Drosophila melanogaster: one gene and its partners. The protein of the gene in region 2 interacts with the protein of the main gene of each other region in a pairwise test. Each region holds a gene or a part of one and is shown on either strand. Other genes may lie near its edges. The genes, in order: rau, CG8301 and CG7824.

What was found.
Region 1: the proteins of CG8301 (region 2) and rau interact in a two-hybrid assay, tested with the Drosophila melanogaster proteins (2 studies listed by BioGRID).
Region 3: the proteins of CG8301 (region 2) and CG7824 interact in a two-hybrid assay, tested with the Drosophila melanogaster proteins (2 studies listed by BioGRID).

What each region holds. Positions count from the first base shown.
Region 1 is NT_033779.5:5,873,871-5,884,565, forward strand, and holds the start of rau (rau), read right to left. Parts: upstream 5,629-10,695; 5' UTR 5,118-5,628; intron 1-5,117. Other genes in the region: CG44574 (uncharacterized protein), read left to right, coding at 9,912-9,951, 10,009-10,089, 10,145-10,449; Sfp26Ac (seminal fluid protein 26Ac), read right to left, coding at 10,511-10,572, 10,636-10,695.
Region 2 is NT_033777.3:9,579,490-9,592,957, reverse strand, and holds CG8301 (uncharacterized protein), read right to left. Parts: upstream 11,653-13,468; 5' UTR 10,990-11,652; coding exon 10,837-10,989; intron 10,444-10,836; coding exon of another isoform or gene 10,288-10,443; intron 10,233-10,287; coding exon of another isoform or gene 10,086-10,232; intron 9,994-10,085; coding exon of another isoform or gene 9,853-9,993; intron 9,799-9,852; coding exon of another isoform or gene 9,736-9,798; intron 9,505-9,735; coding exon 8,628-9,504; intron 8,475-8,627; coding exon 8,388-8,474; intron 7,743-8,387; coding exon 7,272-7,742; intron 7,210-7,271; coding exon 7,060-7,209; intron 7,003-7,059; coding exon 6,917-7,002; 3' UTR 6,310-6,916; downstream 1-6,309. Other genes in the region: bocks (bocksbeutel), read left to right, coding at 2,029-3,228; P58IPK, read right to left, coding at 3,676-4,961, 5,322-5,435, 5,499-5,595; CG33654 (uncharacterized protein), read left to right, coding at 9,736-9,798, 9,853-9,993, 10,086-10,232, 10,288-10,443; Son RNA binding protein, read right to left, coding at 12,095-12,802, 12,862-13,468.
Region 3 is NT_033777.3:29,854,700-29,863,895, forward strand, and holds CG7824 (uncharacterized protein), read right to left. Parts: upstream 4,238-9,196; 5' UTR 4,173-4,237; coding exon 4,076-4,172; intron 4,020-4,075; coding exon 3,058-4,019; 3' UTR 2,953-3,057; downstream 1-2,952. Other genes in the region: dgt1 (dim gamma-tubulin 1), read right to left, coding at 449-949, 1,254-1,654, 1,712-1,875, 1,942-2,134, 2,188-2,698; CG15514 (uncharacterized protein), read right to left, coding at 5,655-5,936, 6,008-6,655; RpS8 (ribosomal protein S8), read left to right, coding at 7,232-7,235, 7,500-7,606, 8,086-8,497, 8,716-8,819.

The DNA of each region.
Region 1 (10,695 bases), on a different chromosome or scaffold from region 2:
CGTCAAACGCTCTGCAAACTGAAAACGCTTGCCGCCTCATAAATTTAAAATATACCAAAAAAAAAAGTAAATCGAGTGGGTAAACTCTAAAAAATATCATAAAGCTTTCAGCTCTCTGCGGAAATTATAAATTCAGAGCAAAAGCGCGTGGTTCTTTTTTTATTCCGCCTTGGCTGTTTTACACAATTACAAAAAGCCAGAGGTATTTTTTTTTTATTTGAATTTTTCCTGGAAGCCTGCCAGGTATTGTACACCAGTTTTTGCGGTTGTCAATAAATAATTCCAACATGGATTTCTACCGACAAAATGTTTTCGTGCCGCTTATTTAGATAAAAAGCGCGCTTTTCCAAATTGCATTCCAATTTCCATTCTAGACAAAAGCGCTTTTCGCAGTGGAAATCGTTGTTTGTGATCCAAGGCAAGGTCGTTGCATTGTCTTCGGTGGGATTTCAAACACAACCCCACACAAATTGCGCATTTGTTTCGGATAAATCAGCTAAAAATAATACACAAATTACTGTCCCACACTTGAATGCCTTCCCCCAGTCACAACAGGCCCAAACTAATCATTAAATAAATGCGGCTGGCCTTAAAAAACCACCACAGATGCATCTGCAGCTCGCCCACTTTAAAAGATACAAAAGAAACCGAAATTCCGTGAAGAACCATGCCTCGCCCTAATGAAGTTATGAGCTGGAAGACCAGAATATCGCTCAACCGGGGGCTGGAATACTTATTTTTGATGCCACTCTTTCTTGCATATTCCATAAATATGATGAAAGCTGGAGGAGATGGAGGAGGAGAAGGCTTCCACTTAAGCGCCGACAATTAATATTTTCCATATTTCTTCTGCGCTTCGCTCCCCTCGTTTTGTTTATTAGAGTGTCGATTAAGTTGCTTTAATATTAAGCAGCCCTCTATATTAAGAACCCTCCGAGATATATGGTTTATCTTACGGGGAAAGCGAATGCAGCAGGCCTTGTTCCTATTTCAGAGTTCAGACGATGCAAGATAAGCGCAATGAGTATATATACACTCATATGATTCACTTGCAATTGTGGAGCAGTAGCTGAGGTTCAAGGCACCAAACGGTTTCGTTTTGTATCAGCAAGTTAATATCTCAAAAGTGCCAGTGCGCAAGTGAAGCACAAATCAAAACGGCGCTGCTGCCAATCAATGAAAACTGTGAGCTGCCAAAAAATCGGGCCGAAAGGAGAGAGAGCGGGCAAAAACAAAAGGTTCAGCGGTGTTACCCAATCCGATTCTCACACAAATTTGCAAACGCACAATTAAGTCGCCTGGGAGGGAATCCGATGGAGCTTCCTGCAGCAGACCCTGCGGAGCGCATGATGTGCCAACAAAGACGTCAACTTGTCACCCGTCCAGTGGCCAAGTGGCCAAGTGTCCAGCTGGAGCGGCACAACGGCCTTTAGCTTGGTTAATTTATCATGGCCAGCGGAAGGGAATAAAGGAGATGTGCAAAGAGTGCAATTGTGTGAAGAATGTAGTTGTTTTTTTTTTTATATACGAGCGCTCTGGTTTTTGGGCCCTGGATTTCTTTTGGGCCAAGTGTTTGTATTTAGCCGCTGTGCCGCTGACTGATGTGCGGATATTAATAACGCTCAAATAGAGCTCCAAAGTGGGCAAGCTTTTTGGTCTTTTTTTGCAGTGGCTCAGCACAGAGTTTTTTTTTGTTTTTTTGTATAATCCTCACTTGCTTTAATCCAGCGAGTTTCCGGCCTTTAGCTCTTTTTGCCCCCGTCGAATGGGTGCTACACGCATATTGATTACCAGGTAGTCAAAACCAGCTGGGAATCGAGGGGTTACGAGCGTTTTAAAGGCGAGTAAAAGCTGCATTTGCAGGGTCAGTTAATGAATCCCCACAGCAGTGGTGAGTCAATCAACTGTTGGGACTCCCAACATTCCGCATTCCCACAGTGCATTAAGCCCGAGTCCGAGCCAGCAAATTCCTGTCCCAGGATAGCTGCTGGGAATCGGAGGCGCAGAACCATCCGGCCACTGCAAAGTCAACAGCAACAAAATCACTTGCGGTTTGGGCCAACATCCACAGCCACAAATGCGAACTGAAGTGGTAAGTTTGCTTTTCTTTTTAGGCGTGAGAATCGGTCGCCAATTCAGGTGGGCGGATTACAGAGGCACGTGTTGGTGGAAAGTCAGTGGCGAGAACGATTTCCCAGCCGATAAGATGGCCACTGTGAGATACATTTCGCAGCTAGATTTACGGCCTAATGAAAGTTTTACGAGGTTTTGCTCGGTTCATAGCGAAAGGTTACCCAGCTTTTGACCCTAATGGATCATCTGAACTGCTGGAAAAAGTGATAAAAGCGAGGTGAAGAAACTCAATTGGACAGAAGAAAGTTCCAGATGAACTTTTTCTGCTCGTAAAGCAAAGTATGGGGATCAGCGAAGACACCTGCGCTTATATAATGTAATAAAGGGATATTAATCTAGGACAATCTACTAAAATGTGAAAGGTATTTCCCAAGACAAGATGTTCCTATCATAAGAAGACTGATCATCAGTACAACTTAATCTCTAAGCTCTTTTCGCAGTAACCCATTTACAATGCAAATTTGCTTCTTATGACTAATACTACATAGTTTCGCTGAAAGCCAAATCAATACGGAATCACTTAACACACAAATTCCCCAATGCCTAATCGTTTCGAATTATACATTGTAGTGCTAGAGAAAACCAGATGCCATAAGGCGTTATAATTGTTTTACGCCACCATATCTCACAGGTTGCCGTGCGCAAACAAACAGTTAACAGGCTTTGTGTACCTTGGTTTTTTGTTAATTAATTGTTAACAAAACGAAGTGTCAACAAAAAAAAATATCAACCGAGAGCGGCTGAGAGAAAAACCACGAGTAAAAGCGCCAACTTCCAGTTTTTTGCTGACTTTGTGCCATCATTTATATTAAAGAAGTCGTATATTATTTTTTCATTTCGCTGCTGAACTTGTTTATTGAATTTACCATTTTGAAGCCGCTGACTCAGTACGATTTTCGCTGTAATTTAGCCGAGTTAGCGAGAAACGTTAAACGAGGCTGCAGTGCATAATATATAACCGAAAAAAACCCCCGATTCGGGCCAGCATTCATTTCAATTGAATTTTGAATATTTCGGAATGCTAAGCTCCAACATCAAATTGTGTTGCCAACGCTCGAATAAATTGTAAATCAATTTAAGAATCAACAAGAGAATGTACGACTTCGGGTGTGAAATAAAATAAAATAGCTTAGGAAAATTGCAGTAAAATAAATTGTTTTATTTTATAGCCGGAATAATTTAGAGTAGAACTTTTACATATATGTACGCAAAAATCCGGTTAGCGCACATTTATGTCGATTGACAAATGCTATTGTCTTTTTATTGCCAGTGCGGGTGTGTCTTTGGTTAGATGAAGAAACAATAGACTTGAATGTACATAACTGTATATGGAAGTCAAGCAACTTCCTCAAGCTATAAAGCCACGCATAAATTACCGAGGAAATTATACAAAATGGTTTGTTCAACCATTCACTGGAATGGAGCTCTTAAATACAAATATGATAGAAAATGGCTAAAAACTATAAAAGCGAATTGAGATGTTAGTGCCAAGATCTCCAGCGAAAGATAAACGATCCCTGATGCAGACCACCCTCGACTTCCTGCCATCGATTAATCAATAGAACTACTTCCTTTTAAAACGCCCCTCGCAAGTACTACGTGTGTGCAATGTGAAGACTAAATGAGGCGAATATCCTTTCATGGCTCACGTATCCAGCCCAATACAAGATACTTCTGTTAAGCACAGATTTGGTGGTACTACCTGTTCCGAAATCGAAGCAGAAGGCGCTAAACTGAAGGAAACCGCACTTGACAGTAGCACACGAGCAGGTAGGCCCAAAAAGGTAATCCCTCTCTCACGTAGTCTTCTGAAATTCAGGATGGGATCGCAGCACGTTGAGCCCTCTGGGGCGTATTGTACTCGTGCATTTCCTGATTTTTAATTAGCCAAATAGAACCTAACAAAGACAACAAGTTGGGCCAAACGGTCTGAGGCTACGTGCTTGGTATGTGAAATCTTTAGCCCCTCAGTGTCCACAGGAAAACAATGCTCCAGACCGAATACTCCTGTGTGCGAGAGGACAGGAAATTAATTCGATATCAATACTTTTCTGCGGTTGCGTTGAAAATTGCGAGAAAGTGATGGTAACCACCACCTCAGGCTAGCAATTTTATAATCAAAACCAACCGCTTTTGGACATCGGGATTTTCCCCACTCGTAATCATGGTTACACCGCCGTCTGGTGGACAATGCTAACTTATTATTGCAACTCCTCATTAGATGATATTATGTGGAATTGACATTAAGGAGTTTGACAATAAGCACAGCAAAGACAAATGAAATGATACACATGTGTATCCGATTGGGGGGCATTGTTAATCGAAAATCCCCAATGAGCATTGTTACCGAACTGAGTGATATCATTCATCTGAGCTTGAAACAACAGAGACGGATTTTCTCACAGAAATCTACAAGATATGCATCAAATCAAATGTTTGGTCGAGACCCAAAGTTTGTGTCATTCATAATCGGCCAACAAAGCAACTCGACTAATTAAGAGAGTCACTCGACCAAGAAATTTACATGAAATGTTTATGCATTTCCAAAATAGCTGGGAAGGTCTTATGTCCGCCTGTGTGGCCCTCTAATGGAAGTTTGAAATATTTGCATAAAAATTCAAAAAAATGCTGAGCAAATTGTCGAGTTGCAGATCCACGGATGTACACTTGTCGGAGGCCAAGAACCGGACAATGATGCTCAGCAATTCCGTATTTGCATTGTAATCCCCCTAGATGACCTCGGGAATGGAGGAAGTGACTGGCCAACAGCTTGGTTACCGTTGCGGGTTCAATCAACTCCTCTGGCCAGCGAAACTGTCTGGATCTAATCGCGCAATTCGATAATTGAGTGCAGGAGAGTGGGCTGTGAAAATTCTGGACTTTCGCCAAGGCGAGAAGAAACCCAATCGACCGAACTAGATCTCGTCTAGCAATCAAACTTTCTAGATGAAGAGCGAAAACTGGACCAGCGATCGGGCGCTTACCTTCTAGCGTATGATTTGTAGTATCCAAATGTGATTTGTGTGTAATCCCAAGACCTTAAGGCCCGAGACTTTGATGGATGGCGGTATAAGAAGTCCGGAGTGCGAAGACAAGACAAGGTCGCGTCGTTTTTCTTCGGCTGCCGCTTTTAGGGCCCTTTGGCTGCTTGGCATTAAGTTATCAAGCACTCTACGCCACTTCGCATTTCTTCGCGTATCCAAAGGTGCGTATGCGTACGTGCTCCCTGCTGGGGAAACAGGTGCACTCAGGAAGCAGCTGCACTGATTTTTATTTTAGCGTTGCACTTTGAGTTTCTATCCGAATTTGTTCACTTTTTGTACATATGTATATTCCTTTGGCTTTCGTACCAATTTTATTTTAGATCTGGACGCACATTCACTTTCGTTCGAATAGGCTCGCTACCGTTAGCCAGTTCACTAAGAATTGGAAATTTTCGAGCGGAGCTAATGTAGATTGAGTACCGCACTCGGCAGTGTTTACAGACGCACTGAAGCCGCACGGCTAGCGTCTGCGAGGTCTAACCCGCTGAGAGGAGTCGCATTCAGATACCTGTTTTGTATGTGTGTGTGAGCTGGCTCTCGCGCTCTCGCCTCTCTGCACTCAGAAAAAAACTATAGCTAGCTTGATCAGCGGAAAGCAACGCAGATACTTGCAGTTAGCAAGTTATTTAATAATTTGATAACTAATATTTAATTTTTTTAAGCTGACTATAAAATTCTCTCTCTTCTTATCTTCTACAGGGGACTTTAATTCAACTTGAAATGAGCCAAGCTGATCTGATACCATGTGAATAGTATGAATGTTAGGTGAATGGATTTTGGGAAAACGCAAATCGTTCATAATGGAGCCACTGGGGGTGTGGGTTGGCGCTTCGTGGGCGAGTGAGCGGGCGAACTAGTTCTGTCTGCGGCTCGCTCTTTTCGGAGAGAGGAAAACTGGTTTCCAATCAGACTTAGACTTTGCCGGCATGTGGGTTTCCTCATGGAAATCTGGGGATGGGGATTCGCGGTCGAGCGACGCCGGATGGGCTTGGGCAGAGCTACATAAATGACCAAAGTTGAAGGGCGAGGCACGGCTAGAGTTTACGGACTTGTAATAAATCAGGGAGTTTTCAAAGCAGAAGACTTTAGCTAGTAATCGTATGTATATATGTGTTCACGCTAGAACGGCATTAGTAGTTTATTTAGTTACTAAACAACAAGAAAATTCAAAAACTGTACTACCTTAACAGTTTCCACAACAATCAATATGAAGCTGATGCATTTTTAATAGGTAGACCTTAAGACTCCTTCTATAGTATTCGATTAACAGGATCGATTTTGTAACTTTAAGTCTGGCGAAACTAAATCCAGGAAATAAGCCCTGAACTTTGGCAGTATGTAAACTGAAAAGGTGAAAGAAAGTTCAACATTCAGGCGAGATATTCCATTCCGGCAAGTCGTAGATTGCTTCGGTTTGATGTTTTTTAGACCCCACAGAAACAACAAAGAAAAGCAAAAGTTTAAAAATTAATTATGACAAAGTCAAAAAGTCCAAAAATTATTAATGAAAGTGAAATTATCATCAGCGAAGCGAAAAACAAAAATAAATAACAGATTTTTTGTTGCTCGATAATTTGCGAATGAAAAGGAAGGAAAAAACCAACCAACTGATGCGCCAGTAAAATTCATTAGACTTTGATAGATGAACTTGATGAGTCGATGTCGCTGATGGACGACGGACTCGCAGAGTTGTGAAAATCTGAGCGAAAAATGCGGAACCAATTTTATTTGTTTGCTTTTTGAGAGTAATTTAATTAGTTGGAGCACGGCAAGTTATGTTTGCATGTGACCCGGGGCGGTCAATTAAGAATTCATGAATCAGGCCCTAATTAGAGGTCGCCGTTTAACAAATTGATACTGGTTTTGTATTCACATTGAAGCCGAAAGATCTGTTCGAAGGTGTTAATAAAGCCCAGTCAAATTGCTTGGCTCCTTAGAACATTCTCCGTTCTGACTGAAGGGTATCAAAGTTTGTCCTCGGGGCACAAAAAGTTACATCTTGTAGCTAAGTGGCATTCCTCTGACCAACGGTTAAATATTTGTGCAGCACTGTGCGGACATGAAAATGGTATCATAGCACGCTTTTCACACAGCCGTGTGAAAAGTACACACCAGCCCAGTTTGAGGGAGGGCAGCTCAGACTCGGATGCAGGTCCCCTGCTCTCCTCCAGTCCACCAGACTCCAGATGAAGATGAAGTCGCAGCGAAGGTATGCTCCAGTTACAGAAGTAACAGTGTTTGTTCAGCTCAAATACAGTAGAGCCTACGAAACTGTTCATGACGGCCCATCGAAAAAGCTTAAAGTAAAATATTTGATGCCCTTGCCGTCGAACTTGTAATTATATGCCACGGAATTGAAAACAAAAGCATATCATATTTAATATGAAACAATGTTTTGCAACAATCTTCCAAACACAAACAGAAATCTTTCGAGTTCTGCCCTGGTAATTCGGCCTGTACGCGCATGGAGTTGCAATTGCGGACTCAGCGCGGCCGGCTGCAAGTTAATGGCTAATGGTCAGCAGCTGCCGCAGCCAAAACAGACGTGCTCCAATTGTAAACAAAAATGTTGGAGCTCGGATCGCCCAAACACACTCGCCTCGAGCTGCACTTGTGTTGGTTTGTATCCGTATCTGTATCTGCATCTGCAACTGTATCTGCATCTGCATCAGCATCTGCTCCGGATGGCAGCGAAGTCTGTCAAGTGGGTTGCGATTCCGACTTCCCCCTCGGTGCAAAAAGCACCGACTGACTTTTTGCGTGCTGAGCACATTTCCTATAAATAGTAGCTGTAAACCATAAATAAAAAACGAAAAGAGGCAGAGAAGCGCAAGGCGAGGGCTACTCTATTCATGCCATCTATCAAGTTGCAGGCACCCGAGATGAAGTTTGCGCTCAAATGATTTGTTTAGACGGCCTGCCACTAAGTGGTGGTAGCCTGTTAAGGCCGCTTTGGTTGTACCGAAATGATTGCACAGCGAATTAGTTGGCATCGGAGTAAAGAGCTATCCGTTTAAGGCCTAAACATCACTTACCCCAAACGAGATCGTCTCAATTGGTGGATATAAATCAAGTTCGGTTAGCAAAGCAGCTGATATTGGCTGGCCGTTGGCTTCAGTATCCATGTCATAAACAAGGACTTCCGATTGCGGCGTCTGCTCAAGTGGCAAGTGCCACGAGCGGCTTAGCGGAGGTCCTCATTAAAGCCGAAACCGAATAAAACACCAAACTTTCAGCAGCTGAGGGGCGACAGCTTGCAGACCCAAACAGGTGGCATCGGCAGTTGGGTCAGAGACAAGTCCTGGAGTGCGGGTCGAGGGACGGAAGGGCGGGAGGACTTCCGCCGATGTCCTGGCCATTTCGTAGCCAGGTGGCCTCGCCTTCGCCAGGTCAAGCGAAAAGGCGTCAAGGATATCAAGGATTCATAACTCATTTACCGACCTCTTGATGAAACCACTTCGATATCAAGTTCTGCTGGGCGAAGCAGCTAAACGGAGAATTACTTGCAGTGGCTTGAATTCATAATGATAATAATTAAGTTACAGAAGTTTATTTTACCAACGTTAAATTTTATATATATATTATAGGTAAAATATTGCATACACCTTTTAGTTCAAACGCGCTTTAAGTGGACTTGTTTATTTTCATTTTAGTTGCTTGCTTTGTGCATTCAGATTCACATTTTAAATGATATATTATTGCTGGATGATTTATTATGCGAAACATTTTCTGTTTATGGACATAAAATATTTGTATTTTTAGTCAGAAATTTTCGGTGTGGGCCAAGAACGCTTTTAATAATGCGCTTCAAACATCCAAAGGCAACGAATATTCAGCGGTGTATTTTCACGTTTAACTAATGTGGTTTTAACAATCACCTTAAATAGCACATTAGCTTTCGATTTCTATCGCATTCGAGTCGCTTACACAAGCAGGGAGTTGAAAATCCGAGTGAAATATAAATAATACCTAATTAATTGTCAATTAATCTAGTTTTTATTCTATTTCAAACTTGAAAAGTAGACTTAACTTATATATGATTACAACTAATGTGCAGATATATTTAAAAAAAACTGCTGAATTCCCCTTGCCCATCGAAAGATTCATTTACACAAAAAAAACATTTCCATTCGAAACGCATAATATTTACAAATCAATCGAGGCATAAAACCGTCTATACTACATGGGAAAGTCAGTGCCCATGAATTCTACTAAGAAAATATTTCGTTGGAGCCCAGAACTTATGGGTATAGGTTTCTTTAATAAACTTGGAAATGCAACGCACAGCGCTCAGTAAACTCCGCAACTCCACACGGAATATGGAAAGCAGTAAAAGCCATACAATCATTGGAAAAGTTATTTGTTTTGACGGAGAGTAGGAGCGTGGGCAATATGGCGAGATCCCTTGCCACATTCATATGTAAATGCATCAGGTTGTAGAAAGCTTAGGTGAAGGGAAAAACTATAACTTTTCAAATCAAATTATTACTCATAAAACGATAGGTCGCGTTGTTAAGTGACTTGTTCTTCGAGGTTTTTATGGTTCCACAATTGAGTGAATCTAAGATGGAAAACGTTACTCTTACAAGGGCTTGTCTAATTTAAATGAAAGTACATTTAAGTTGCTTGTTTCTGTGTAGTAGTTAACTACTGTAAAGAAATAGATTTAGAAATAATATTCATTGCAAATAGCAAACCAAAGCGACTAGTCGCATTTTGATCTAGTACATCGAAATGAATGCATACTATAAATGTATTTTACTTATTCTTTGTGGTAAAATAAGACATATTTAACTAAAAATTAATAATCACTATTTAACCATTCCTTTAGCAACGTTTTATGTCCATTTAGTTAACAGCTTAGACAAGCACGACATCAATGCAATTTTAACGAAGTTTAAAAATCTCGCTGGTAACTATTTATATTTTAAAAGTTATAAAATTACTAAACGATCTGTCTGTTGAAGTAAAATCCGCAAGCATGCACTTGCAGGATAGCAAATCGGATATAAACATCACCTCCAAAGAATTTTGTATGAAAAATGACGAAAGGACGAACCGCTTCAAAAGGATTATTTTTCTGCAGAAAGAGGTTATCCTAAAATTGCAATCCCAATTGTTGGAACAAACTCTGAATTGCAGCAACCTGAGGCAAAGAGTTCGCAGGCTCATTGATAGTTACACAAACCTAAAGTCCGAGCTTGAAGAACTAAGGTCGAAAAGTGGCACAACTGACGGCCCCAAGAATGAGAGCACTATAAAACATATATAGTAGATTTGTTGGATTCAAACAATATTAAATATTAATTGATGAAATGAACCATGATTTTATTTTACATCTTGGCGCACTTTTCTTTGTCCTTAGGGCACTTTCCTTTAACAATTTCGGTGAATGCTGGGAAAGTGTATAAATATTTATACTGCTGCAGGCGAAATTACATTAATATATTCCACTTACGTTTCAGCTTTTTTTGCTCTCGACGGCATGAAATTCTTTCAACTTGGCATCGATTCAGAG
Region 2 (13,468 bases):
AATGGAAATGGCAATGGAAAACGAGCGATGAAAACGAGAAAACAAAAGCGGGCAACAAATTTGATTTTATTAACCTGCGACTGCATTTCAATTTTGGCATTTACAACATTTTCTTGTCGCGTGTGTTGTTTTCGTGCTGATTTATGCCGCTTTTGGGCCAGCCGCGTTTGCAGTGAAAGTTAAGCGGGTTCAACAGCAAAAACAGCTGAAAACAGCAGCCAAAGGTTGTGTCAATGAACTGCGGTGGCGAATTCCCCAATTCCCCCAATTTGGGTTGCCTAATGTCATGGGCATGGGGCTAATCTTTTGTTAACAATTGTGATTTGGTTTATCGATGGAAGGCCTCTCACGTGACTTGGCTATCAAGCAATACCAAATATAGGCAATGACCGACTGAATAGAATGAAATGCCCAACACAAATTATATTGGTAACAATAAATAACATTTGGAGCTACTTGAAATCAGCAAATTCACATGTACAAGCCACTCCAAAAATAGCACCAAATATGTATGTGCCTAAATCACTGATATTAACATTTAGTTTGAAACCCCATTTCTTCCTTGCAACCCCCGATGCTTCTTTTTAGATGAATTCTTAATTATGAGTAAATATATCTTCATGAATACAATTGTTCAAATGCTCTTTGTGAGTACATTCCTTGGAATTCGTTATAAGTGCAACGTAAACAATATTTAAAGAATACCCGGTGGTCGGTCCTATTGGGCATTCTAAGCTGCAGAAGTGTAAAAAGGGTTGGTTTTATTGCTCACCTGGTGTTAATTGTTGCGGCAACAGGTAGTTCTTCTGGTGGAGTAGACTGGTGAACTGGACTGCCGATAAGAAGGAGGCCACGCGCAGAGTTTGAGTTTGGGCAATAGCAATATCGAAATGTAATAAACCAAATACCAGAAAGGCAATTACTCGTTCACTTTCGATTCGATCGGCCGATAAGGAATTTTACAGGGAAAACACGATGTCAACACGTTTAAACAAAGAACAAACGCACTTATTTTCTGTTTGCGCTTAACAAAAAAACAAAAACCCAAATACGAGGATATTTTTTTTTTCGTTTAGTATTTATATCTACTTTGATTCGTTGTTGTTTTTCACGTTTTATGTGTTTGTTTTTGTCCCGCTTGCTCTTTTTTGGGGCGCCTTTCTCGCTCTTGTCCGCTTTAACCGGTTTTTTGGTTTATGTTTATGCTGCTGCTTCTACTGCTGCTGTTGTTGCTGTTTTTGTTTCCCTTGCTCTTGCTTGGCTAAATGGAAAATATGCTGCAATTGCAGCCAGCAAATTGTCGAATGTTTCCAGCCACTTGCTTTGCTACTCGAAATCGATGCCAAAAACTTTAATAACACCCGCGATTGAGGTAAACAAAAGTGTAATAAGCGAAGTGAGGCACACACGCAGGCGCAGAAAAGCAAAAAGGTGAAGAAATATTGGCCGCCAAACAGGTGCAAATGATTCACGATTGTTTTTCCACAATCCACTGTTTATGTTACGATGCTATATCTCCTCAGTTTTCCGCACTGCGACTTGGGGATTTTCTTTGGCTTGGCGAGCGCTTTCCGCGCGGCGATTCGTTTAATTCGAGCGTCTTGTTTGCGATTGAACACCTGTTGCGCGTTCGATTTTCATAAAACTAACTGTGTGACCGTCGGGCGTTAGTTGAAATAAACCATAGCAAGCGTATCCAACCAGGTCTGGCAGCACTGCTGTAAATGTTTAGTTGTAGGCATTTTATAACACTGCACATGAGGCGATTGCACATAAAATATCGAGTTAAGTTTTTCTTCAAGTAGTTTGTTCTTCTGTCTGATGTTAAAAAATTGTTTTTACTTTCGTGCACAGCTCATCCAGCATATGAAATCTAGCTATAGTTTGTCAAACAACATTACTTTAGCAGCAATCGATAGGCGTGCACTTAGATTGAACATTCTATCGCTGCCGTTCCATCACTAATAGACAACATTGTGACGACATTGCTATTTTTGTGTGTTTTGAGTTTCACCACGGCGGAAAATAATGTCGGACCTTTCTTACCTGGACACGTTGGGCAACAAGGAGCTGCTGGCCAAGTGCCTGGAGCACGGCCTGCCCGGTGTTCCCGTGACGGACAGCACCCGCAGCGTCATAATTCGCCGACTAAAGGCCAAAATCACCGGGGTTCCGCTGAACAAAAGCAAATCTGCAAGTAAGAAAGCGATTCCGAGGCGTGAGACCGTACACGGCAGCCAGGTAACGACGCCCACATCGGAGCCAGTGCGTCGTACGCCCGGCAAGAGTGCAGGACGCACTAGCAGCAACAACAACAAGATCAGCGAACAAAGTCGTCGCACAATCGCCTATGGACTAGACAACACCTCGATCTCGGGAAGATCTGTGCAGACTACTACCACGGTGTCGGATATGAGCTCCCAGTCGGAGGACGACGACTCCTACATGGTGGACTCTCCGGTGCCTAATTACTCCAAGGACCAGCAGCCTAGACGTTATGTTTCTCTAGCCAAATCCGGAGTTTTGACCACATCTTACACACGCGAAGTTGACCAGCCGCTGTACGAACAGGAGGATATACCACGCAGCTACACCTACGAAAGACCCCATGTGCCAGCCGCCACTCTTCACGCACTTCCCACATACGAGCCACGCATCGAACCTTCGACATACAGACCCACAGATTTGGGTTTTTCGCGTCCCCTGCTGACTCAAACCAACTTAAACTCAACCAGCTACGAGGAGTCATCTACGTACAATCCAAAACTTTCACCCATTTCGCCAAGAAACACTTTCAGCGGATCCGCTAGGCCTTTTGGTGGCCCAGCACCAGCTCCAGCACCCATTCGCCAGCGACAGAGTGTTCCAGTTAGTGGATCCAATCTGGCCCGTGGTCGCCTGCTCCAGCCGACCACCGCAGTAAACACTCTATATCCACAACTAAATGAATTCTACGATCAGCCGAATGACGCAGGCGAACCCATGGAGACGGAGAGCGAGTCCGAAGTCGAGGAAGTACCCATCAATAGCCATTTCCAAAAGAATCGCTTCTCGCCGCTGGCTAGAAAACCTCTGGTAAGACACCACGATCAGGTTTCGCCTATGGCGCAGTTCCGTGCACTGGCGGTGTCATTGGATCAAAAATATAATCTCAAATTCTACTTAATATTGGTAGTGTCAGTGATGCTGGCCACCATGGTGTACGTGGTATTGACACCCAACGCCTGAGAAGCGTTCATATCGCGGAATACATTTGGTTTTGGTTACTCCACGCATTTCAACCACAGACTACAGCGAAGGAATATTTATGACGACTTTGCACCTTAAGACTACTACTTCAATTCCAAACATGTTCAAAACTAACAAATATTCAACTCAATTTGCCAAGTCTTTAATTGCTTGTTCTCGCATATTGTTTCTTTTTATACATAATTAGAAAAATGTACTACATTATAATTATTGTATTGTATTAAATAAACTAATTAAATGTAAGTGCTCAGTGTGTTTTGTTGCGATTTGTGTTTGTTTGTGGTACTCTCTGACAACGGACCATGGGTTTATTTATGCTTTATGCTACTATTTACACGCCATTTAAATGAACAAAACAGTGTAAAATCGTTAAAGGATATCGGGGATCGCGGCTAGGACATCACAAAGCAAATGGCTGCTGGCTGACTAATTGAAGTGGAACTTGAACTGGAACGGCGACCCGTGTTGGAAGTGTCCAAACGGATGTTCGCCATGGAAGCCGCCACGCTGATTGCTCTCAGGATCTAATGGATCCTCGCCGTTGTCGAATTGACGACGCTTCTCGGGATCCGTGAGAACCTCCTTGGCTGCGGCAATGTCAATAAACTTTTTCTCGGCCACCTTCTTTTCCTCGTCGCGGAAGTTGTCCGGATGCCACTTTTGCGCCGCCTTCCTGTAGGCCTTCACAATCTCCTGTTTGCTGGCGCTACGCTTAACGCCTAATATCTTATAGTAATCCCTGCGCTCTGACTGCTTCTGCAGCTTCTTTGCCCTCTGGATGCCTTCTTTAGCGCGGGTGTTGCTCTCTTCCAGGTCGAGAGCTGCTTGGAAGGAGTGTATGGCATCGTCGTACATTTCGGTGCCCAGCAATGCGTCAGCACGATCACAGTAGACCTGAGCATCCTTCATAATATCCAGTGCCTCCTTGCACTGTTGCAAAGCCTTGCCAAACTGCTCGTCGCCCGTGTAGCAAGTGCAGAGCACCTTGTGTCCCTCATACCGGATCATCGTCTCCTCCGGCTCGTTACGCAGGACTGCCTCTCCGGCGGCTATGCACTCGGCAAAATGCTTCTCCTCACGCGCTTGCTCTGCGTTAACCAGCTGCTTTTCCACCTTTCGTAGTTTCTTGTAGAAGGGGAAGCAGAGCTTGTGTTCCGGGTCGAACTTCAGGCACTCGCGGATCTCTTTTAAGGCATTTGTGGCGTGGCCAATTGTGTACAGCAGCTGTGCAATCTTGTAGTGACCCTCAGTGCTGTCCTGGGTGAGTCGGTTCACCTGTCGCAAGTCAGCAATGGCTAACAGTGGATCATTGATTGCAATGTAGGCATCAGAGCGAGCCTGCCGGAAGGGCACAGCCCACGGCGAGATCTCTAGCAACTGTGTGATCATGGGGATGGCGTTTTGGTGATCACTGTATTGGATCAGCTGCTGTACAAGGACCCACTGCTCCTGGGCGGGTGCCAAGCGGGAATAGTGCTCCAGCACCAAGCCGTTGTTGGGTTCCTCTTGAAGGACTTGATCAAAGTCCTGGATCGCTTGCTCGTACTCTCCGCTCTTCATGTGCACAACACCCCGCTGGATTCGGGCGGCCATAAAGTCTGGCTTCAGTTCCAGCACCCTGCTGAAATCCTGGACGGCAAAGCGCGTCTTGCCCAGCGCCAAATAGACGGTGCCGCGCTTGAAAAGCGTCAGATAGTTGTTGGCATCGCCCTCTGTGAAAATGATAATGGTTAAATCAATGACGAGGGCATAGAAAGGCTAAAAAATATCCTAGCACAAATGAATGTAGTCCTAAACAAAAGTTTACCAAATTAATGTTATCATCAAATTCAAGACAAAAGATACAAGTTTGTTTATTGACCTTGGCATTTGCAAAACATGGTTATGTTTTAAACCATACGATTCTATGATTTGTTAATCAAAAATAATTAAAATCTTTATAAAATATTTAGATTCGTTGCCAATGGACACTTTTGAACGCGATGTTATGTAAATTCACGTGAATTAAAGAATATAAATGTATTGTCATAGATATTCCGATTCTTTCGTGTGTACAAGCCAGTTATATTTACCAACAGCTGCATGGTAGTGCGTCAGTGCATCCGACAGCTGTCCGCGGGCGAGGAACTCCTTGCCCAGCTCCAGATGGTTCTCAATATCCGCTGGACTGGCCGTCGACTCGGCGCCTGAGCGAGAAACAATGACGTGTATTTCAGATGCCTTCGAAGATAAGGATTTGAAGTACGTACCTTCCAGGAAGAGCTCCAGCAGGAGCAGCACCAGGCAGGCAGCCAATTTCTTCTCGCCGCCGCCGATCATGAGCAGGTCACTCAATGGCAAGGCCATGACGATGGCTACGTGTACTTAGATGCCCCCGCAAAAAACCAGTGTGGGCGTGATTTGGAGTTGATTCCCAATCGACACGCACGTCGAATCTGCTTGGCGTGGCAGCTTCTAATCTCTACGGTCGCACCGCTTCCCCTCCTGCACATCAACTTTCACTGGCGGCTTTATTTTCAGCTCGCTGTTATGGATTTTGCGTCCGTTTTTGGTAAACTTGCGGCGCCGTCTGCGATGATTATTCGGTAATTTCTGACTTGGTCAGCTGATTGTTTTGACTGTCTGTGTGTTATGGAGTTTAGATGGTACTCCCCATGGGCATTGCAGCCACTTCTAGTTCGGAATCGCGACCGCTGTGCACTGAACTTTTCGCTTATAAATATTATAAACTAAAAACTGACGTGTTCACGTTCTCTAGGGATGGGCGAATTTTGGCCGCAGGTGATACAAGTCACTGGTTCTTCACGCAGTCACGAGTCGCAACTATCGGATGTGGGCGACGGCAGTGCTGGCAGCTTTTGGCTGTTGTCTAGCTACAACTGATCAAAAGAAATTTCATAATAAATGAAGTAAATTATTTAGATCGCACTACACAAGTCATTAAAGTAGAACTAGCTTTTTGACGCTATTTTAAAGCTAGTTCTGCAATCATTGCAAAAAGCTGTCTAAACCAATCGATTTCTGCCGCCCAACTAAAAAAGTAACGGCAATTCAAACTTTGGTCACATGAATGTTTATTCGGAACATGAATTTGGTAAATATATCTGCAACTACACATAATAAAATCCATAGTATATTGATATTTTAAATATTCTTATACATTTTCGGTAATTATTGTAAATACTTATCGGTTTCATCTGGAAATAAATGCATTTCTTGAGCATTAAAAGTTCGCCGCGAAGCTTAGATTGCTCGTATAACATCTTGTATGTTCTCATTGCTTATTTCTTATCGCTAAGTGGTCAAATGGATATATGTATGTATGTGCTGGTAGTGTTTAAAGGCGTTCTGTGAGATTAATATGGCTCAGAGTTAGAAAGAGATATGCGGCTGGAGTGCCTTAGGGACCGATCGAAGAAATGGACAGAGATATAGCTATATGGTTTATGCCCTACGGAATATCCACTAAATAAAGCTCTAAGCACTTTCACGTTCCAGAGATCGCTGCGTGTGTGCATATGGTCTAGTAAGTGTAATTGGATGGAGGGTACATGTATGTATATGGTCTATGTAAGCTTGAGTTTCGGGAGCTACGCTCCAATGCATTGCAGTTTCTGCACTGTGCTTGGCTACAACAGAAATCTATGCTGTTTGCTGTTCCACTTGGTTAGGAAATCACAATGTTGATCAGATCGTCCAGAGGCTGGTCCGCCGAGTGCGGCTGAGAGGCGGCGTGTGCCTTTTGCATGTGAGCTGGAAGTGATGTTCATCTATATGGAAGGGCATCATTGAGTGATTTCGCATACATACTCTTGAGCTTAATGTGCGTGACAAATCTTTCCTGACAGAGATCGCATTTGTAGTAGGTTTTGCCCGTGTGAGTTCGCTGATGCAGCCGCAATGACTTCTCAAACAGATAGGCTCGACCGCAAACGTTGCACTTGAAGTTCTTCTCCAAGACTGTAAAAGATTGATGTATTACATGTTTCTAATAATACATATGTACATGTGGACATCCTTACCCTCGTGACTCAAGCGATGCTGGGTGAGCACATACTTGAGGGCGAATGCCTTGCCGCAAACATCGCACACATTGGGCTTCTCCTTCTCGTGGGTCTTGATGTGCCACTTCATGTCCTGGGCGCGCTTGAACCGCTTGGAACAGTGCGGGCAGGCGTGCGGTCGATCCTTCTCGGAATGCACGGCAGCGTGCCGCTCCAGAGCGGACTTCATGTTGAACCTCTGGCTGCAGCTGCCGCACTGAAAGAGTCCGGAGTACTGGCGTTCCCGCTTCTGTTGCAGCACCCGTTTGTTGTTCGCTATGATGGGAGCGCCAGGACGCTGCAAGTGCTCCGCGGACATGTGGTGGATCAAATCCGGTTCGCTGGAGAAGGGCTGGCGGCACAGCATGCACTCACTCCGCTCGATGGCAGTCAGGTTCTCCCTGTGCCGCTCCAGCATGTGAATCCTTTTCTCCGCATAGGATGCAAAGACTGTTGGGATTGGACAAAAATGGGTTTAGCATCCATTGGCACATAGATAACGGATGGCTAGTCGTAGAGGGTGTCATGAAGTAGAAAACTCGGAAAAATGTATCGTCCTGAAGGTAGGAAGTAAAGTTGGTGAAGAAAAATAAAACTGTGGTAACGTAATGGATGAAATTCCTTAGATTCAGGACGATTAACTATGTGATTGCTGGCATGCTGCTCTCCAGGGATTCTTACTGTGTATGGAGTTGGTTATGCATTTGGTTGATTGGGTTCGATTGGTTTAATTGGTTAAAACGCTAGCTAGGTGGCTAAGTGGATATCAAAGTACAAAACGTTTGCCGTTCGTTAATCGCATGCGATGGCTAAAAAGGTGTACAAAATAGAGCTGGGTTAGCCATTATCTTTACCGTTGCTTTTGGCTTGACTAACACACTATATAAGGCGGCAGAAGCAGCCGATCTTGGCCCAGTTTCTATGTTCTTAAAGCGCTCGTTGGATGTGAGAATGTTGATATATGATGCAACAGATTGATATATGATGGTTAATGCTCATATGTTTGTGAGTTGTTCAAATCGACGAATCTTCCAATACCAAGTACCGAAGATCCTATGTAGGTGTCCCCGGATTAGAGGATCCAACTTGACTTACCCTCCGTGCAATTGGCACACTTGTAGGGCTTCTCCCCGCCATGCTGCCGGTAAATGTGCCAGCGAAGGGTCTTCAGATGGATGAATGCTGCGTAGATAAAAGTGTATCTAAACTTAATAATGTTTACTAATAGATTGTATAGGAGGGATAGTATAATTAACAGTGATCAACATGGCGTATGCGCAATATTAATCTCATTGAGTTTAGAGCGCAAGTTTTTGCTGAATTGGTGATTCTTACTCTTGCCGCAGAAGCCGCAGTGTTCGCTCTTCCTGGAACTGGTGCCCGAGTGGGTGGCCTCGTGGCACATGAGATGCCGCTGGCTGATGAAGAGTCGCTCGCATCCGCTGTGGCGACACTTGAACTGGCGATCCGGATTGTGCCACTTCATGTGATAGTTGAGGCTCTTGCGGGTGTAGAAGCGCTTCTCGCATAGCGCGCACTCAAAGTCCGTCTCCGAATGGTACTTCTCAACGTGGTGGCGCAGATTGTGCCTGTCGCCGTACTTCTTGCCGCACACGCCGCAGGCATGTTGCTTCTCCACGTGGCTGCTTTTCAGGTGAACTGTGCGCGATGCGGCGTCCTGAAAGCGTGCCTCGCACTCCGGACAATTGTACGGTTGCTCCGGATCGTGGCTAGCGTTGATGTGCTCCAACAAGAGTTGCTGCAGCTGGTAGTTCTCCTGCGGGCGCAGACAGAACTTGCAGGCATAGCTAATGGTCAGTTGTGGGGGAGCAGACTCATCCGTGATTGGTTCCTCCACCTCCTCATCATACTGCTGCTGCTGCTCCTCCTCCTCCTCCTCCTCCTCCGCCTCGTCGATGTCTACGGCATCCACGAAAATCTCTATGGGATCACTGGCAGTGTTGTTTGGTTGTGTTTCGGCTGAAACCGTCGTTGTTGGTTTGGTAGTTTCCGTTTCCTGATGCTCTTCCGCTGGCTCCAAGTCCTCCTGTCCAATCTCATCATCTTCCAGGCTGCTGGCATCGATCTTGTCGTAGATGTGGGACAGCTTCAGCTGTGCCTCCTGGCAGGCCAAGCGGAATGCGTTGATCGAGCAGAACTTGGTGAAGCAGTCGCTGCAGATCTTCTGGGGCAGTCCATCGTTGGGAGATATCTGAAATGAATTCCCTGGTTTTAGTCAGCTGCATATTTAAATCATGGAACAAATTGACTGTCTTATTATAGAAACCAACCCATTAATCGAATCGCTATGCGTTGCCAAACTACCTAGTATAATTGCAGTATTATTATGAAACAATTTGATTTAATTCTTGGGCATGCTTATTTAGCGATATATTTTTTTAAACGAATACAGTTTAGTTTATGCTGTGACATTTATTGCACGATGTTGAAGAATACGCGCTGCCACATAGTAGTCATTTTAGTAATTCTTCTCATGGCTAAATGGGTTGCTACTTCGAATTTGCATCAACTGTATTAAACTAATCGATTTTTCGTACAGGCCTCCTCGAAATTTGAGTTCACCAACCTCCAGTGCACATCGTTCGACAAAAGTTTCGATGATTTTGAATATTGTTACATAAGGTCTGCAAATCGGAGCTATAAGTACTTAACGCTAAAAGTGAACCTATTCAAAACGCCAGTTACAAAGGTCAAGGTATGTGCAAATTAAACAAATTACACACATTTACAATTATCTATAATTATTTCTAGTTCACTGGTATACTATACAAGCGATTTAACGGCTACAGACCCTTCATGTTCAACATAACATTGGATGCGTGTAGATTTTTAAAAAACACTGATTCGAAACCAATAGCAAAATACTTTTACGAATTCTTTAATTCCTACTCAAATCTTAACCATTCCTGCCCCTTTAATGTGAGTATATTCTTGTGTATTATTAAAATTAATTTTATAGTATTTTATACTATAGCACGATCTTATTGTGGATAAGATTCCAATAGACTTTGTTAACCACAGAGTTACGAATATTCTACCCTTTCCTGAAGGTGATTATCTACTGGAAACTCATTGGATTGCCTATGAAATCGATCGAGCGATGGTCAAGATATATTATACTATATCCTAGGCATGTGTCTTTGAATGTCAATATGGAAAATAAATATTGAAAGTTATTCATGTACTAGGAACAGTGTTTTTAAAAAATTGATGATTCCGGAAAACTTTAGATTGACAATTTCCCCAAAGCTTTGTGGTTGGCAGGAAAATAACCATACTATGCATAATTAAGCCCCAAGTGGCTCGATTGTGAAAACATGGCTAACACACAACTTTCACTTGCGAAAAGATGCAATTGTTACAGTGAGAGAAATACCAAGCAACTAGCTGGGCAAAGAGATAGAAATTGGGAAGGTAAGTTACATTAATTTAAAGATTGGGAATCTTTTGAGACAATAAATACTAGGATATGTAGTTTTTCCGAACTGAAATCATCCCATTAAGCCCGAATCACTTCACTCACCTTTAGATTCCAGTTGGCGAACTGGAGGCGAATCTGGGCCATTTCGCTGGGCCAGCAGTTGGGATGATGGAGGTCCAGGAAGTGGCTGTTATTGCTGCCATTTTCGAAATCGCACACGAACATGGAAATCGCACAGGTGCGGCACGTTTCCATGACGTTGGCCGCAAACAAAGTGGCCAGCGAAAATGCGGCAGTGCATCAATGGCGATGACAACGATGGCGATATGTGGCCAATGCAACTGCAACTGCAACGCCCAAATTCGACTCGCCAGCCATTCATGTGCGGTAATTATGCAACTTTACGAGCTACGCGGGCTGTGATTGCGTGCGTCGATACGATAACCACATCCAAATCCGCAGCCACATCCACCGAATGCCAAGACGCAGTGGCTCAAAAGCATTTACACGCTAGCATTGGATATTTTCACAACAAATATTATTGTGCACGTTTTTGAGGCATTTTTGGATGCTGAGTGATGATGATGCTGCAGCTGCTGCTGTTGGGGAATTGGGCGACGAGGACTGGGGCACTCGGAAAAGTTTTGTCTGTATCCGGGTGACGACCTCTGCTCCGCTCCTTGTTGCCCCTTCTGCTGCGCCTGCTAGCCAATCCAATGGTCCGTGCTCGCCATCCGACGAAGTTCGAGCTTCCGCGTGAACTGACCTTCGTCGAGGAGCAATCTTTTGGAACTTGCAGCGCCGATGCTCCCACTTCCACTTCCACTCCCACCACCACAACCACTGCCAGTCTCTGTCCACACGGCCCACTCTTGTTTAACCCACTCGGATGGAACAGCTGACTTTGTTTGTGTACTTGCGCAAAAGCCCCGTTTGGCGAGTGAGCAAAGCTCGCGCGTTAAAGCTCCTCTCCCAAATAACGGGCATTACACTTGGAAAAATGTGTGTGTCAAAAATTAAATTAAAATATTCAATTTAATAAGGGAAGGAAATACACTTCAAATACGAAACTTGCATTTCTAAAAGGAACTAGAAGTAAACAGGTAATTTATAACTGATATTAAGGACAGCATTAAAGTAAGTAGTGTATAAATAATAGAAATGATAACGTTAGGGGTACATCAAATATCAGTAATTTTAGTCAAACTAACAATCATTTTTGATGTTAGCACTATATTTGTCATCGCTCCAAAGGAGACGAACAAGATTTTACAACTTAAATATAGGGCTAATTTTATGTACAGTGTGGGGATTCTATTATATTCACTATCTAGAAATTAGCCTATTCAACGTTCGATCACTAGCTGGGCGGAAGAATGCCTAAAGATCGCAGACATAAGGCGGCCGCATTGAGTTTCGCCTCCTTCTTGTTGTTGCTTCCTCGATCCGGCGTAAAGGTCTGTCCGTTAATCTCGACCGAAAAGAGAAAGGAACGGTTGTGAGCGGGCCCGATATCCTGACGTAGCTTATACTGCGGCGGCATCCACTTGTTCTTCGAGGTCAGTTCGTTGAGCACACACACGGGATGCTTATCCTGGGTGACCAGCGGCGTGGACGCCAACGGTCCAGGTCCCGCACCCTGAACTGCTGGACAGGGGCCAGCTCCAATTGGTCCCGCCATGTTTTTATTTCTTCGCTGGGCAGCCGGCGCACGCATTTGCGGTGGCCTTAAGTCATCGCGCGACACCAGGCCACGCTTGTCCAATTTGACGTCCAGCAAAAGTGGTTGCAATGATCCAGTTTTACATCTGCCCAGTCCCTCGCCCGGTTTCCAGCCCATCTTTTGCAGGAGCGCCATGCCCATGCCCCCAGTCACCGGTTTGGTGGAGGTCATTTGGTCTTTGCGCACCCACAGCTGCGGACCGCTGTTCAGCTCATGTGCCTTCATCACTTGGGCACCCGTGCTTCCCGTGAACTGACCGGGCAGATGCTTTGAGTTGGCCCACGATGACATGTTGCGTTGCGCAGTGTACATCATTTTTAGGGCCTCAGAGTCGGCCGGATTCTCCTAAGATAAACAAAATTATGAAGCCAACCGTTAAAATGACAAATGGTTCTAGAGCTCACCTGCAGGCGTCGAATGGCACTAAGACGCTGGGTGATTATGCTGGACACGTCCATGGAAGGCGGCGTAACATCGGGAAAAATGGAAGCACTTTGCATCGGTGTTACGGGTGACGTTGACGGGATGGGCACCTCGGGAACGAAGGGAACAGCCGGAGGGGCAAACTCTTTGGGAACGGTTGGCGGGACGGATTGAGGAACAGTGGGTAATTGAGTGGCGGCTAAGGGCGGGACTACGACTGCTCCTCCCAGTGGCTTAAAGGCGGGTTCCTGCTGCTCCTGCAAGGGTATCGACTTCGCGAACACGTTCTTCGGCGTTTCCTTAAACATATTGGTGGCCTGTTTTGCTGGCGGTAGGGAGGGCAACGGCACTAGCGAGTCCTTAGGATCCACCGGCACCCACACCTCATTGTTGCGATGGGTCTGACCCGACGACACCGGGAACTGCATGGTTATGGCCTTTGTTTGCTCGTCCAGTCGAGGTGGTGCTGGAACCAGCGCCGTTGAGTTTCGTATATGCATCACAATTGGCTCGCGCTCCTTCAGCTGAAAGGGATGATGGAAGACCTTCGCATTACCATTCTTGTCCACATCGGACTCCTCTTCTGAA
Region 3 (9,196 bases), about 20 Mb from region 2:
AAGAGTGCCTATTTATTAGGGGTTCCTTACACCCGAATGCACCAAAAACTACAATGGCTGAGTACAAAACCAACTGACATTTTCGTGTCGGAGATTTATATCTAGGTTTCTATGATTGCAACAGTAAACATTTAATCTACGAGGGCTTAAAAATTAGTTTAAGATCTGTTTGGGGCGTACTCCCTGGGCTTCACGTCGCCCTTGTTGTCTTCGCCATGTGCGGTGGTCACGTTGAGGGCTTGACTCGTATACAGCTTATCCGAGGGGTCCTCCTCCTCCTTTTTTATGGTGCTAATCAAGCTGGTGGACTGGGTCTCCTCCTCCTCGGTCTCCGATTCGCATTTCTGTGAAGTAAAGGGAATTGCAAGCATGAGAAGAAGAGATACTTTGGGCTTTTTTCTGGATTTGGGTTAGTATGGTGGGTTATTACGTTTACTACGCTATTAGACTAGTTCATGAGGGCATCGAACCAGGGCATGTGTTCTATGCCCTCGAGCAAGCGCAACACTTCGTTCACATTGCTCTCCGACTCGTCGATATCAAAGTTAAGTTCGTTATTGTCTTGCACGGATGGTTCTTCTAACTCAAAGTTGTCTGCGATGAGGTTATCTTGAGCCTGACTTTCAGCTGGACCAACTGAGTCGTTGGACCCGCCATCGCCCTCCTCCTCGAGGCCTAAGTCTACAGGATCGCTCTCCACACCGTCATCTTCAATGGCTAAGCCCAGGTCACTGTCCATGTCCAGGAACATGGAGTAATCATCGTCGAGGGAGTTTGCCAGATCGTCAACTCCGTCAAGGTCAAAATCGAATATACCATTGGCAAAATCCAAGAGGTCATCCCCCTCCGGCTGCGGCTCATTCCGTGGGTCTTCTCCGACAAAGTTATCGAGACCACGGCCTGCTGCGAAAATACTTTCTACCGGCGGAGTGCTGGGAACTTCATAAAACTGGGGGATGAGAGGTCGGCAATTTATTCAGGGTCGATCACAAAGGGCTTGCTTAGACAGTACTAGCACTTATATACATGTGTTTCGTGTTGTTTCTCTAGATATACTTAGCTTTACTACAAATCAAGCCTAAATACTAGTTACGCAGTATTGTTTGTTCGAACTGTCTTACAGTTGGCTTACTATAGTTTCAGCAGTCATGTGCAACACAACTTATGGCAATGGGTGAGTGGACAGTTGGAATATATAAGCAGTTACTTGTGGTGGTTATGGCGTGGGTTGGGTTAGTGTTTGATCAACGCACCTTTTGTATATACTGGCGCTTAGCCGGCGCCACGGTCAGGTGCAGTACGCAACTGGAGTCTTCGAGAATGCTAGCCACTGGCTCCTGGCAGACCACCCCACTCCGCTCCACGCCGCAGGCTCGGAACAGCACCTGGCGCTTATCCTCCAGAATGTGCTTGCGGCAGTGCTTGCAGCAGGGCAGCGTTCGCTCACCACACTTGACACCGCCTTCGGTGAAGACGCACTTCGGGTTGCTCGACGACTTGGCTGCGTACAAGGCGTCGCGAGCTCGCTTCTCCTTCAGTTTCTTGTAGAGCACCGCCTCGACGCCCTGGCGTCGATGATAGCTATTCAGCGCCTTTAGCTGCTCGTACAGCTTTCGCTCGTGTGGCGTGTCCTTTAGCTGATCGTGAATGCTGCCTGAAAGTGTGGCATAAGACACATTATCCTGCATACCTAAAGGCAAGTGAAACTTACAATATAGCTCTCGCTCGCGTCGTATATCGTGCAAATACTTGCGACGTCGCTGCCTCAGCACGTTCTGCAGATATGAAATCTGCTCGCGGTAAAGACCCTGAAGCTTGATCAGCTTCGTTTCGGCAATCTTTACTGCCTCTGCGCGTGTAAAGACGCCAGCGTGTCTACAAGGGAGAAGAAAAAATTAAAATTTCCTTAAAAAATAGTGCTACGAATAAATCAAATCTTACTTCAAAGGATCATCATCCTCCGAATCGATACTCTCATGGTCAGATTCGTAAAACTCAATGTCCTGGGCGGTGTTCCTGAGACAGGGCGGATCTGCATCGTTGCTGGAACTATCGGAAGCATAATCCAAAATGCGACGTCGCTTGCGAGAGCTCTCCACAACATGTCCTATGGAATTGCGGTGATCCTGAGTGACTAGAAGTGAGGAAAATTAGATTTCAGCTCGGTTTATAGTCAGCAAGACATACCAAATGGCGTCACGTGGGGTGAGACCACATCGATTTCATCATCATCGCGTTCGATCTTTTTCACCTCTGGCTTTATGTCCTCCACATTAATGTGCGATGAGAGGCTGTGCAGCAGGGTCTCGTTGGTCTCCACCCGGCTGCGAATGCGGCCCACATTCATGTGCGTCTTCTGCAGCTGCGTCTGCCGGTTGTGCTCGAAGCAGAGGGTCGTCAGGATCAGCTCCTTCTTGTTGTCATACTTGGCCACCGCGTTGATGCACTTCCTGCCGTTCGAGTAGACGTGCGAGCACTGTCGGAAGTTGGAGCGCGGGTCGCGCAGGATGTGTCGGATGCAATACTCGTAGCCCTCGATCCGCATCAGGCTGCACTCGTAGGTGGGATTGGCGCAGTACTTAATCTTGACCAGCTCGCTGTGGATCTGCTCCCGCAGCTGGTGCTCCTTGTCCGGAGTGCAGGGCGTGCCGGTGAAGCGGGCGCACTGCCGCAATTGGTTTGGCGAAAAGCTGGACATCGTCCTTTCAAGATTTTTGCCGCTTTTTAGAAATTGTTCTCTGATTTTTCAGACGAAGCGAAATGAAATAAAATGCTGTGGAAACAGTGTGACCACAGCAAAGTAGAGCATAAATACCCCACACGTTGTCACGCTTGCCAACCAGTCAGCATCGCCATGAACCAAAAGAGGGTATCCCACCTCCCATGTTGAGTTTCTATATTTAAAAATATCTTAAGATTAAGGTTAAATTTGATAAAAATGCTGTCTAAGTTGGCATCTAAAACCAATTGGAGATTTATTAGGTTATGAAATTCGTTTCTTTCTCTAACAATATTATTACTCTAATAAACATAGCTTAGAGCCTGAGGATTTATGGTTTAATGGGGAAAATGGCAAAATGGGTGGTAGTTGTCGAACTCCGATGGCAAATCGTCTGCTTCGCTTAAAATGAGCTGGATCTGGGCCATTCGTATGCCATAGCGCAACTTGTAGTCCACTGCATCCAGTTGCGGGATGCACCTCCGGTTGATAAGGAGCAGGAAACTCTGACTGATCTCCATGACTTCCTCCGCCCTGAGGATGGACCAGTCCGACATGTCCACATTTAGGTTCTGGGCTCTCAAGCAGATCATGATCCGGTTGTGGTCCGTTTGACCCGTGGGCAACCAGATGCGCGCCTGAGGCGCAAATGGTACATCGCTGACATGGACGAGCTTGATGCGCATGTCATGCCACGAGTTGCTAATCGCGGCAACACAGTCCGACAGGAATACCTTTGAAAATCCGTCTTCGCACCGGATCACTCGGTGGCCACGAACTACGTCTGAGCTATCGAAGGACGGGACGGGACCCCCCGGCATGGCCATGACTCTGTCAGTCACCATGTACGCCAGCTGGGCCTCGACCTCCTGCCACCTTTCGTTAAGCAGACGGCCGTCTTCGTGGAGCTCGTCCACCAGGGCCATCGTCAGGTTGTCACTCTTTGCCAAATTGGGCTTCGCAGCCATAGGAGGACTTGTATTCTTGGGTCCCTTTGCCTTCTTGTGGGCACTAGCCTCCTTGGAGCCCTTTGCCTTTTTGGGTTCAAGTTCACTAGCCTTCTTGAGTGCCGCTTTATTTTGCTTCTTACGCTTCCTTGCTTTTTTACCCGCACCCCTGGTAACCACCGATTTCGCTGCTCTTGCCTCTGTATTCCGTATTTTCTTGGCTCGAGCGCGTGCGCGCCTGGACATTTCCTTCTCCTCCTTTACTGCACGTTTTTGATTAGCGTCCTGTGGAGATAAGCGGGGCTTTTCTTCAGGGGGCTCGGATTTTACACTCCGGAGAGAGTCGCCACGATCTTGAAGGACCAAGTGTAGCAGTTAGCATCGAGAAGGCTGACAACACACGACTTACCATTGTCATCGATTACAATCACATCCTCGAACTTCTGAGCCCTTATATTTTCGTTATTGCAGAAAGAGTCCTTCCTTTTTGTCCAAATACTGGACATTTTGTCAATTATTGCGTCTTGGTTTCTCAGAGCTAAGCAATAAACAAAATGTGTTTACCATCGAAGCGCGAAAAAAGGCCTAAAAATAACTGTAGTTCCACGTGGTTGCAACCCATGATAGACAATCAGCGGTGGCGCAAACCAGGGCGGAATTTAAAAACAATCCAAATTCGTTCCTTCAATCGTTTATTTATTTCATAAACTGTATTGTCTTTGTACAAACAGGAAAAGCTCTTACTTACTTGATGAACAAAACGGGCCGCTTGACTTGAACTGGGTATTTCGCTGGCGTGAACAAGCTTAATGCATAGTCCATCCCATGCGTCGGCTAATTGCTCAATGCAATCCTCTAGGAAGATCTTAGAGAAGCCGTCCTAGCACCTGATCATCCGGTGTCCTCGAATAACAAATGAGGAGTCAAGCAACGGGTGAGGTCCTTGAGGCACCGCCGCCCGTCTATCCGCCACAATGCGAGCCAGCCTCGCCTCGATCTGACACCACTTTTCGAAGAGCAAGCAGCCGTCTGCGTGGCGCTCGTCTACCAGGGCCATTGTCGGGTTGTCCTGGATCAACTCCTTGTACTTCCAGGCCTAAATAGACAGATGCATCTGCATCTCCGTTTGTGATTCTTCCCATTTGAGTCCGATGGTCCGTTTCGCTTACGTTGCTGCTGATCGCTACTGATTGGTGCTCTGCGCTGAACACATCAAGAGCGTTCTACCCTACTCCTTGACACGTTTGAAGTATCACTTTCCCCCTCCGTTCCAAGCCCTAGGAAACTAAGAGGGGTCTCAACTTAATAATGTGGGTGCACCAGATACCCGGCTAACATACCCTTATAGGCCGGTTTTACGTTCCTGTTCTCCAAGGAACGGGGAGTTGAAGCAAGGCCTGGTTTTTACGTGAATATCTAGTCATGATTAAGGATCCGTATTTCCGTGCTTCTGCTGAATTAATCTTCGCAGAAGTAAACAAATCTCTGCCTGCTTTCTAGCGATAACTGACACAACCTACTTCGATATTGGAAGTTATCGAGGAGTGTGACCGCAACATAATTATTAATCTTGTAGTGCAAATATCCGGTATTTCCCACCGTTTAAGTACAGTGCTCACTATTGAATGTGCGTTTAGTTACAATGAGTAGAATCCTAGATTAAGCATATTAATAACACATAATTGAGCTACAGTTTGTTACTAACTCTAAGCGTAACGGTGAAGTTTATTTACGAGCTGAAATGATCGCTTTTAAGCCGGCACTTTTTACAAATAATATATAAATTAATAAAAGGACATAAGAATAACATGCAATGGCCAAATTACTTCTCTTTCAATTTCTATGCCCTTCCCTCGTGGAAATTAATCCCCCGCACAATAAATGCTCAGATCATAAAATCGTTTAAAGTATAATCATACCTAAGTGTAAATAATCATATTGCCCGCCTTATCCACCTACAAACACAAGCCGTTCCAATCGTCGATGGGCTAGTTGTCCACTACGTTCATGTCCAGGAGAAGCTTTTTGGTCTGCAGATCAATGAGCCGCCGCTTGGCCCTGGCCAACTCGGCCATCTCGTTGTAGTATATCGTTTCCGCCTTGAGCTTCTCGTCCAGCTGTGTGGTGGACTCCGCCAGCGAGGCGCTGTCCTGCGGAATCATGTTCTGCATCTCCGCCGGCTCCGGCTCATCGCACCTGTCCACCACCACGGAGTCCGAGTTGTCCACAACGTACTCGTAGAAGGGTTCCTGCAGCGAAATCGAAGTGACCTTAAATCAAAGATCGAAAGCATGTAGAGGCTAAATGTGGGTAGGGGAGCGGAAGTGGTCCGTGGACAAACCTCTTCTTCAAGGTGATCGGCCACCTTTTCGATGATGCTGTCCACATCGTCAAAGTTGACTTTCTCCAGGGGATCAGCCGCCTGCCTACGCTCCAGGCTGGCGTAGGAGTCCTTCTTGGGTGTCATGAGGTGCTGGTGCGAGTGATTCAGCGTCTTGGCCAGGCTGGTGTGACGACGCACAATGTGTCGCATCAGATTGGAGGACGAGTGCTTCGAGGAGAGCGTCTTGCCGCAGTGCATACATTTGGCCATGAATTCGGAGATGCGGATAAAGTGCGCCCACAGTTTATTGTTCTTCCCAATGACCTTGTTGCGCATCTCCTCCTGGCTGTGCCGCTCCATCTGCTCTTGTTCGAGCTTCGCGTTCATGATGCCGCGCACCGCCGACTTGGTCTCGCCCTCTCCGAGCTCCATGCTCAGGTCCTCGGAGGCGGAGGCTTCCAGCTCGTCCTTCAGCTCCGCCAGCATCTTACCCTCCTCGCCGGCAAAAATTGATCGGGCCAAGAGCTTGTGGTTCCGGATTAAGTGGCGCGTCAAGTTGGAGGATGTGTGTTTGGAGGACAATGTCTTCTCGCAGTGTTTGCACTGAACTATGTACTCGGTCAGTCGGTGGAAGTGCGCTAGAGCCTTGAAGTTTTTCCCAACCATAGCTGCTTCCGCAAATCCGGGAGTTGCAGTTTCGCCTGCTCCTGGCCAATTTGGTGGCAATTGTCGCGTTTATTTATCAAATTGCTTTTATTTTCGGTGCAAAATGAGGGTGTGACCGTGTGCGCGAAGCCACAAGCTAACATTTTACCGAGCTGTTACGAACGCAAGCTGGCCACACCTTATTCAACGGGTAATATATTTCGACAGCAGTAGTGGTATTCTCAAATGTTAAGTTTATAATTAAATAAGTGCTCCTGTTGTATTCCAAAATACATGTCCTGATATATATCTTAATTGTAAAGCAATATAATTAGATATTAGTAAATACAATCTACCACTATGGCTCATAAAAATAATTGGTTTCACATTGCTTCATACATTTTTAACTAAATTTCACTGATTCCAGGTGCTAAAAATTAATATTTGAATTAATGTAACAGCACCGAGTGTACTGTAGAGCGCGCGCTAACAGCGCAGAGTTGCCCAACCGCGGCAACTGTCAAAAAGATAACCCTACTTTTTTGACACGAGGTGCTGTGCGTGTCTTTTCCTTTCTTTCTCGCTTTTTACTCGAACATGGGTAAGTCGACTCTCGCAAATTGCGTCGAAATATCAAGAAAATGGGCTCAATACGGCCTGCAAACACCATGAAAGTGCGCACAAAGTACGTTTACAACAGCATCGAGAAAAAAGCAACGGGGAATGTGTGAATTTAAATAAATATCCGTGAATTTAACTTGGTGCGGCTCTTTTTAGTGCGCCCCCAAACGTGCCCATGTTCTTGGTTTTTTTTCGACTTTTCCGTGCGCCTTGTACTAACATGGACCTATTTCTCAATCACCAGGTATTAGCCGCGATAGTGCACACAAACGCCGGGCCACCGGAGGCAAGCGCAAGTCGCTCCGCAAGAAGCGCAAGTTCGAGTTGGGACGCCCCGCCGCCAACACCAAGGTAAGGATAATCTCCGGATAATCGCAATGGCGTGTATTCGAATGCCAGGGTCCAGTTTCTCATACTCCCATTAAGTTTTATTGGTCGGTGCCGAAATGTGTGCTTGAAAACCAAGCACATTTTCATTGTTTTTATCTTACCATCGTGACTTGGATAGTATACACATGGTTTTTATGTCGTACGATTGCGATTGTTTTCAATGATCGTTATACCATGTTTTATTTTAAGAGATTGTTTACATGCCTATCTAAGTTTAAGTTGGAATTCACCGACAAATCTGTGAAAAGTATGAGATAATTGGTCCTAATATACAAATGCAATGTTAAATGATGTTAACGCGTGTCAACTGCAATTGTGCTCTCGAGTACTCTTCTTGATGATTGAAAAGCTTTATGTTCGGACTACTGATAAATATATCGTTCCCTCCATAAGGTCTCCCGTCTGTATGCCCGGACTAACTCTTGAACTCATTTTTTCAGCTTGGCTCCGGCCGCGTGCACAAGGTGCGCACCCGTGGTGGAAACACCAAGCTCCGTGCTCTGCGCCTGGAAACCGGAAACTTCGCCTGGGCCTCCGAGGGAGTGGCGCGCAAGACCCGTATCGCCGATGTTGTGTACAACGCCTCCAACAACGAGCTGGTGCGAACCAAGACCTTGGTGAAGAACAGCATCGTGGTCATCGATGCCACGCCCTTCCGCCAGTGGTACGAGGCTCACTACGTGCTGCCCCTGGGACGCAAGCGTAACCCCAAGCACGCCCAGAAAGAGGACGAGAACGACGTGCTGACCAAGAAGCGCAGCGAAAAGGTTATGAAGAAGTACCTGGAGCGCCAGAAGTACGGCAAGGTCGAGCAGGCCCTCGAGGATCAGTTCACCTCCGGCCGCATCTTGGGTGTGTATTCTTTCTAATTCATGATTAATGATTTTTGTTATAGTGATGTAAAAACCCTAGCGATCCAGCTACTTTATTGTGTTGATCTTGTTTTAAGAGAGACGCAAGCCTGTTGGGTGTGATTCTGCTTGTCATAGTTACTCTGATCAGACCACTAAACTTATACTTTTCCATTTACTGGAAGCCCCGCTCTAATTCCCTGTTATTTTTCCTTTCAGCTTGCATTTCTTCCCGCCCCGGACAGTGCGGTCGCTCCGACGGCTACATTTTGGAAGGCAAGGAGTTGGAATTCTACCTTAAGAAGATCAAGTCTAAGAAATAAAGGCACTAGATAAGCTTGCAAGACATGATTTGCAAACAAAAACGGAATAAAACAACTTGTTTTTTATAGGAAGTGCATTTTTCTGATTTTGTTCTTTAATTTTCCTGCTGACAAAGAAATGCAGCCCAAATAGTGGACGCTTTTGTTACCCAAATAAAGTCCAGATAAAAGATAAGAATGTTCGTGGATAGTGGAGGGCAAAGGACTCTCCCTTAAATGTCTATTGAATTTTCGTTTCATAAGTATGATACAGTAATACGTAATCATTAATAATAGTTTAAATATCATTCATATTGGCTATAATTACATAACGCAGACAGGATGTCGAATCCCATAAAGTACAACAAATTCATGTTAATTTAAAACTGCCAATGACA